Linked DNA regions of Xenopus tropicalis. The protein of the gene in region 2 purifies or fractionates together with the protein of the main gene of each other region. This does not show direct contact. Links are inferred from orthologs where the notes say so. Each region holds a gene or a part of one and is shown on either strand. Other genes may lie near its edges.

Region 1 (4,125 bases), on a different chromosome or scaffold from region 2:
TCTCATTATCCTCTGTATAGTAATAAATACTGTAAATTCATAATGCTGAGTGTATATTGCAACCTAGACACTGGATACCCCCACACTTTGTGTTTTCTGCCTCCTTTTAGATTGTAAGCTCTATGGATCAAGGCTGTCTTTACCTACTGCATGGGCCACTCTTTGTATGTGAATTGTGTGTTTAAAGCATACACTCATTTATTGTACATTGCTGTTGGTACTTATTAAATGCACATTATTGATATTAATAATGGTACCCCTAAATAAAATCTACAATTCCCATAATGCTACCCTGTAGAGAAAAAAAGATCCCTGGCAATTCAACAAGAATGAGGCCCCCGAAATATTTGAGTTGGTTTCAGTTAGGGGTGCCTTGGGATAGAATTCCGATATGTATGCGACTGTTACACAATATATGCCAATTGTTCAACCCTTATCTTCACCTCTTGCAGGGCCGGAACTAGGGGTAGGCAGAAGAGGCAGCTGCCTAGGGTGCAACCATCAGGGGGTGCCAGGCAGAAGCCTCTCCTACCTACCCCTAGTCTGCTCTCTTTAGCCATTGCCCCCGCCGCTTGTCATCGAATCACGAACCTCCCCCGCGACTGCGCATGTGCGCTAAAGCACATGGGGAGTGGTGCGAGGTGGCCGACGGGGTTGCCTAGGTTGCCTAGGTTGCCCTGTTGGCTTGGCCCGCCCTGACCTCTTGTATCGGTTATTGATTGCTTTATATGTTACTCTGTATGTCCAATATATGTAACCCACTTATTGTACAGCGCCAGGGGTAGGCAGAAGAGGCAGCTGCCTAGGGAGCACCAATTGGGGGGCGCCATGAAGCCTCTCCTGCCTACCCCTAGTCCGTGCTCTTTAGTCATTGCCCCCGCCGCTTGTCCTTACGCAGAGGGGGCAATGCTCCATCAAATCGCAACACGAACCCCACCCCCCGCGTTCAACTGCGCATGTGCGTCAAAGGGGGGGTGCGAATGAGGAAGGTGCAGGGGCGAGGTGGCCGACCGGGTTGCCTAGGGCGCCCGGTAGGCATAGCCCGCCCCTGTACAGCGCTGCGGAATATGTTGGTGCTTTATAAATAAATGTTAATAATAATAATAATAATAACAACCCCCCCAGGGACCAGTGCAAATGCCCTTGGTGTCCTGCCCCATAAGCAGACCTTTGGCCAGTAACACACATCCCTGAGCCCCCTTTTCCCCGCAGTGTAATGCTCCCCGGTAGCAGTAGTAGCAGCAGTAGCAGTAGCAGTAGCAGCCCCTGATGCAGCCAGTGACTGGTGCGCTTGGCCCAGATCAATGTGCCTGGGAGGGGCGAGTTCTGATGCAGCAGCACAAGCCTATGACAGCAGCAAGCAGGCAAGTCGCACACTGCTCTCCCAGTCTCACGGCTGCTTTTTACCGCAGTGGGCGATCGCCTGGAAGCCAAGCGAGCATCCCCCAGCAGGAAGGGAGGAGGACGGTGCCCAGTGAGCGATCGGAGCAGCCCGGCGGGTCCCTATTGCTTGCGCAGCGGTGCCCCCCCCGTATCAGGATGGTGCGCTCCGGGGCTGGCTGCGCTCCCTTCCCGCGTTAGGCAGCAGCACTATGGATGGCGCTCTTGTAACGACCTCTGCTCATTTCATCAGTCCGCTGGGGACAGGCATGCTGAGTGCCGCTGCTGTCAATGGGCGAGGACGTGGACACGCGAAAAATTAACCACAGCTTTCTCCGGGATCACAACTATGTGACTGAAGGTACCAGCCCCCCAAATATCCCCCCCCCCCTCAGTGTTGTGAATATTGTGCCCCCTCTCTGTCACTTTGATTCCAATTGTGCCAGCCACACTGTGTCTTGTCATGGTATCCCCCGTGTGTGCCAGTCTATAATTCCCACTGTGTTGGGTATCATGCATTGGGGGGGCAGATGGGAGAGTCCAGCAGCATTGGCTTAGGGCAGTTAGGAACAGGTCCTGCCCTGACCCACTGAAAGGGGTTATTTACTGCAGAGTGGCCAAGTGAGGAAATCTAAATGACATAGGGGATAATTAACCAATAAACTACTCACTTCAGAAATGGTACCCAACCTCCTAATAAATCCTGTGAGACTGAATATCATGGGGATTTTCTTTGATTTGGTCAGTTTTTAGATTCAGTCAATTAATATTTAATAAATTTTGGTTTATCTATAAAACCTTAACCCTGGTATTTGTCGCCCTACAGCCAAATTACAACTCCCCCCCCCCCCTCCAGGGGTTGCTGGGAGTTAATGGTTGCTCAGCAGAGTGCCTGTCTATTGAGACAAATAAATGCAAAGCCAGGCGTTAAAGTGTCGGGTCGGTGGAAGGGGCACATTATTTGTGGTTCCCTCTGCCCTGAGCTTGATGAGCAGAGAGGATCGTATGTGAGGAGCTGACAATGGTGGAGCCGTGTAACAGCAGAGCAGTGAAAGCGCTCGGTCATGAAACCCTTTGGCTTGGTGCATCTCAGGGCAATAAATGTTTAATTAGTGATCCGAGAGCCTGCGCTCTAACGTGGATCGACAATAGTCAGGTCAGCAAAATTGCATCCCATGTAAATCGACCCACATATAAATGGCTCCAGCTGCAATTCATAAGGTTCCTAGTTCGGCCAGTCACACGGTCACGGATGGCTAGAGATACATGAATATCTATGGGCAATTAGAGGTGGCAGATATATATTTAATGCTAAATTAGATGGACTAGCGTGTGCTTGCATGTTCCCTTCAGAGACTGTTCCCCTGGTTGGCTTCATGGATCATTATTGGGTGACCAAGGGCTTAGCGCTCCTTATAAATGCACCCATCACAAGAAGGTTCTGCAGCAGCTTAGGCCTCTGCTTTATTAGATGGCCTAGTGGGTGTAGTCATCTATCTGTCTATCTATCTATCTATCTATCATCTATCTATCTATCATCATCTATCTATCATCATCTATCTGTCTGTCTATCTATCTATCTATCTATCTATCTATCTATCTATCTATCATCTATCATCTATCTATCATCTATCTATCTATCTATCTATCTATTATCTATCTATCTATCTATCTATCTATCTATCTATCTATCTATCTATCTGTCTGTCTGTCTGTCTATCTATCATCTATCTATCTATCTATCTATCTATCTATCTATCTATCTATCTATCTATCTATCTATCATCTATCTATCATCATCTATCTGTCTGTCTATCTATCTATCTATCTATCTATCTATCTATCTATCTATCTATCTATCTATCATCTATCTATCATCTATCTATTATCTATCTATCTATCTGTCTGTCTGTCTGTCTGTCTGTCTATCTATCTATCTATCTATCTATCTATCTATCATCTATCTATCTATCTATCTATCTATCTATCTATCTATCTATCTATCTCCCTATCATCTGTCTATCTGTCTATCTTTCTTGTATCTGTCCTTTTCTTCACCCATCAGAACAGACACAGCTTGAACATAGATTTATATTTTCTTTACCTTCGCATTTTAGCTGTTGTGCGTTGATAAGAGAGATGAGGGAGATGTGGAGACTTTGCCTGGATGCCCTGGAATCCATTAGATGTTCCTATGGGGTAGAGCTGAGGGTGTATTCTGTATATTCTTTTTGATGACTGGATTTGTTCTAAGTCTATTCTGATTCTTCCTCTGTGGGTCCTAATACAGTATAAAAGGAATAATTATCCCCACTTGTAAATACATGGTTATTAGACATAGTTGTGTGATCATGTAGGTATCAGGCCATGGTATACAGATGATGGAACTCCAGTGTGACTTGTAATATACGGTATCTCTACTTCTTTTTTTAACTTTTCTTTCCCCATTATTTCTCCCTCTCTTCTCCCACTCTCTCCTGTTCTCCCCTCTCTATACCTGTATTCACCTTTTTCCTTTACTTGTGTCCTCCCCTCTCTTCTCTTTTCCTTTTATCCCTTCCTTTCTGCTCGCTTTCTCTTCTTTTAACCGTTCTACTTTTCCTTCTCCCCTAATCTGCCCCTCATCCTTTTTATTCTGACACTCCTCTTATCCCGCACTACCCCTTCTCTCCCTATATCCTATTTTATTCTTTCTTTCAGTGGCGTAACTAGTGTGCCCTGGGTCCCCCTGCAAAAAAATCTTCA
Region 2 (4,065 bases):
CTTATAGAAAACAATGAAACCACTTCCAGGCTGTATGCAGTGGCTACTTATTTTCTTGCTCAATTTACAGCCCTGTGTGTACAAATAGCTGTATATAAATATAAAATGTGCTTACATAAATCACCACATAAGACACCAGTTTATGTGTGTTGGTATAAGAGCCAATAGTTATTTTGGGCATGAGCAGCAGTTTTTCAAGAGACAGCGGCGTATGTAGAAGTTACTGCGCTCTTTATAAAAAATCATTTTACAGTTTAACTAAATATTCAGGGGCCTATAGTGTTAACATTCCCAATAGCTTTAAACCCTACACTTCCTTATTTCACTATTACTGGGCGGAAGCCCATGTATCTATCTTGCTATAAGGATGTTTTGTATCTTTGGCCCATGAGACTTATGATTACTTGCTGCACACTGTAACATAGTGTTCAGCAGGAGGTGAGAACTTCTTATTTGGCCTGCATCTGTTGAAACAGGTACATGATCAACAAGGCCTCAGTAAAGCCATCTATCTCTAGAGAAGTCGGGGAGCAGGGACCCTGTGAACGAGGATTTAGTAAGTGCAGGATATATTCTCCTTTACAGTCTCCACTGCCTAATTGAAGGGGCCACAGTTATAACAAGGGTATCAGGCATAGCCTTCTCCCTCATATATGTCTGCTGTTTGGGATCTGGTCCATTAAGGTAAGAAACTTTAAGGAAAAAGATGCCCTACAGTGGTGCATCTTTACATTGCTTGCTCTGCATTTAACGTGCCAATCTGTTGCCCTGCATCTGCATTGTGAGTATTACTGCATTAACCTGTGGACCATTTGTCTTGGACAAATAAACTGAGTTCTGTTTGAGTTTGCTGCAAGAACCATCTGGTACCCTTTATTTCTTTATTTTTGCACACAGCATAAGTGAATTGTAGTTGCACAACTACATGTCCCCCTTGGTCCTTTCACATAACAAAGGCCCATCCTGTGTGTTAGTCAAGTGTACCCCATGCTCCATAGCCCATCTAGCTGGTCTTTGTTTTGCAGCCAAAAAGGGGTTGCAATTATAAGATAGTTTCATAAAATGTTCATTAGTCAGTGACCCACTAGGCACACAAGCGGTAGCAGAGTACCTATTCCCCTCAGCTGACAGCCCGGTTCGACAAGCCTCTAATCTCCACACCAGCCCTGGCACAGAGAGATAGAACAGCAGCCCTAAGAGAGCACAGCTAGGGCCAGGGTAATGTTGCCTGTCATGCCCCACAGATGCCGGTGGTGGCGCTGTCTCTCCAGGAGCACCGTGCCCAGGGAACACCATAAGAACAAAGTTACTGTGCGAGCTACTTATTATTATAATAATTAATTAAGACCAGTAACATGTGCATGCGTTAATAAAGAGTGCTGTGTAAATGCGGATGTATGCAGCCCCCCTGCTTCCAATTGTTCGCATGTTTCTCGTAGCTCTGATCAGGAACTCCCTGAGCCCCGGTGCAGCAGCAGGCCCGGGGCTGCCATCCTGCCTCTAAGCTATAGCTGCTATGTGCGAACAGGCAGCGCCTCAGCCACACACACATGTATACTCTCCCTGTGCTAGCCTTGACTGACAGCTTCAGCAGAGGGCTGCTGACGTCAGAGCTGGCTCCGGTTGTCAAGGGCAACCTATTTGGCAAGCGAGCTGTGAAAAAAAGACAGGGAATAAAGGGCCCGCCCAGGAGGCCTCCTGCTGCTCTGACGTCAATGGACGTTAACTGTGAGAACATGATGCCTTGTGCATAGAGCGGTACATTGGCTTCCTGCTGCACAGCTGCCTCCACTCCCTGTGTCTGGTCGCACGCGTGCTACAGCGACTAACAATACCTCTGTGCAAGTGAATGGGAGCTGCACAATGCTCGTTACTTTGCAACACTTTAGCCGTAAATCTGCCTGCAACGACTTGATGAGCTGACTTTATCGGACCTGTGAAAACTCAGCCCGATTGGTTGCGTTTTGTTTGCATGTTAATGTCAGACGTTCCCACCTTGCATGGATGTGTGAGAGCTCATTCGGGTATAACCGTGCTGAACACATGGCAGGAGCTGGACAATGCAAGCAGTAACGCGTTCCATTTGGGAATTCTTCGCCACCATCAACTTTACAGAAAAGTCTTGCGATTGTATGTAATGTGCGGGCGCTAGAAGCTGAATGTAGTTTGCGTTGGGTTGCACTTGCCTATAAGGAATGGCTAAGGTGAGCCCCCTGTGAGCGCCTGTAGGATCTGCCTGCGATTCCTTTCACTGCGACTTGTTGGGGGGTGTGAGCACTAATCGTGCCGGTTGATGTCTGTTTCCCGTTGGAGCTTCCTGGCCCGGCTCCCAGCATGGTCATGGCGGACTGTCAGAAGCCTGTACAGAGGGGTCCTGTCCGGGTCGGATTTTATGACATAGAACGCACTTTAGGGAAAGGGAATTTCGCGGTGGTGAAGCTGGCGAGGCACCGGATCACCAAAACCGAGGCAAGTACTGGCCAAATGTCTGGCTAATAACTTGTGTGAGCTTCACTGCATCCCTCTGCTGTTCTTGCACTACAACTCTTGGCGCAAAACTGCAGCGTGTTTTAGCGCAATAACAGCTGGGAAGCCGCTTCTTTTACATTTCAACTATTTCCATTTTCTATTATGCCAATAAGGGCATTTTCTGCCTATTGCCTTATCCCTGCAAAGTGCTGGGCACCCAAATGTGACAGTGCTGTGTTCTGGTAGGGAGTGTTGCTGCTGAGGACTTGCTGGGCACCAACTTACAGCATTACCTTTCCTTAGCAAGTGATAATGCTGGACATGTAATTATGGCATTGGTGTTACCTGGTAGGTGCTGGGCAGTGGCACCTATTTATGGCATTGTTTTACAATTGTGAGAGTGTTTGCAGTGCACCCATACTCCTTTACACTAGTGAGGTCTTATGTTAGACATCCAGACATGCCTTTGCATTACCTTTGTAAGTACCATTACTGGGCTTTTAAATATGGCATTGCTTTATCCTGGTAAAGGCTTTTGCTGGGTTCTCCTATATGGCATTTTTCCCTTTAATGGTTAAGCTTGTGGTGTCTAAGTATGGCATAGTTTACAGGGTAAGGTTATTGCTCTAACTTGGTAAGTGTTATTTTTGGGGATCCAAGTGTGCCATTGCTTTAGCCTGGTAAGGTCTGCTGGTGGCCACCTAAACGTGACATTTCTTTTCCCATTAACAACTGGTGTCAACTATGACACTGCCAAGTAAGGGTAAAGATAATAAATAGTAAAAATAAAAACATCTTGCCAACTGCAATAATAAAATTTTTATTTTTTATTGATGCCACATTATATAACTATAATTTCTTATTAATCCAGAGTCTTTAAAATCACAGTACAGACCTGCTTTGTGTGGCACCATGGAGACAATAAACATATTAATTGGCATAGAAATACTTTAGCAAACAAAGTTTGGGTACAAACAGCTTTTATTTTGCTAAATCTCATTACATTGCTTACTGTTTCGTGGCCCAAAGACAGCAAAGTCAAACATAAAGTACCAGCATCTTCTGTCTGGGAATACTAGGGGTTTGGGTTCAACAACCGCTAAGGTTTGCCAAACATGCTGTTGCTTTTCTCACTTACAGCCAGAGTTACAGGTGACTGGCAAAACCTACTCGGCCAAGTATCTTATGAACTGCACTAGTAACCAATTTGTTCCCTAGAATCCAAGAACACCGGTTCATGTTTACCTGCTGATTTATGAGCCACCTAGCAGGTTTAGCCCCTCACTTAATACCGCAGGTAAAGCTGTGCATTAATCCATAGTACCAATCAATTTTTCCTGCTTTTTCCAACTGCATCGCACTGATTAAAGGTATATCTCTGGCTGCTATTGGTTACTGCAGCATTTCAGTGAAGCATCTCTCTTAGAGAATGGGTTCATGGTTTGTTTGTTTGCCCAGTGTGTAGTTTTTATGATAAGTCATCTGAACAGAACATGAATTCTGCATTTTAGTTATGTTGCCATAAAATGCCTTGTAGTCACAATCTCAGGTATAGAAACCAACTCCAGTCACACTACCAAGATTGAGTGACACTCT

Evidence for each region.
Region 1: the proteins of sik2 (region 2) and ppp2r2c purify together in Homo sapiens (affinity purification with mass spectrometry; 3 studies listed by BioGRID and IntAct, counting the BioPlex papers as one, with this or other methods). This does not show direct contact. The link is inferred for Xenopus tropicalis from reciprocal best matches to the Homo sapiens genes SIK2 and PPP2R2C.

Annotation. Positions count from the first base shown.
Region 1 is NC_030677.2:25,387,935-25,392,059, forward strand, and holds the start of ppp2r2c (protein phosphatase 2, regulatory subunit B, gamma), read left to right. Parts: upstream 1-1,325; 5' UTR 1,326-1,671; coding exon 1,672-1,741; intron 1,742-4,125. UniProt on the Homo sapiens protein: The B regulatory subunit might modulate substrate selectivity and catalytic activity, and might also direct the localization of the catalytic enzyme to a particular subcellular compartment.
Region 2 is NC_030683.2:84,190,230-84,194,294, forward strand, and holds the start of sik2 (serine/threonine-protein kinase SIK2), read left to right. Parts: upstream 1-1,265; 5' UTR 1,266-2,334; coding exon 2,335-2,469; intron 2,470-4,065. UniProt on the Homo sapiens protein: Serine/threonine-protein kinase that plays a role in many biological processes such as fatty acid oxidation, autophagy, immune response or glucose metabolism.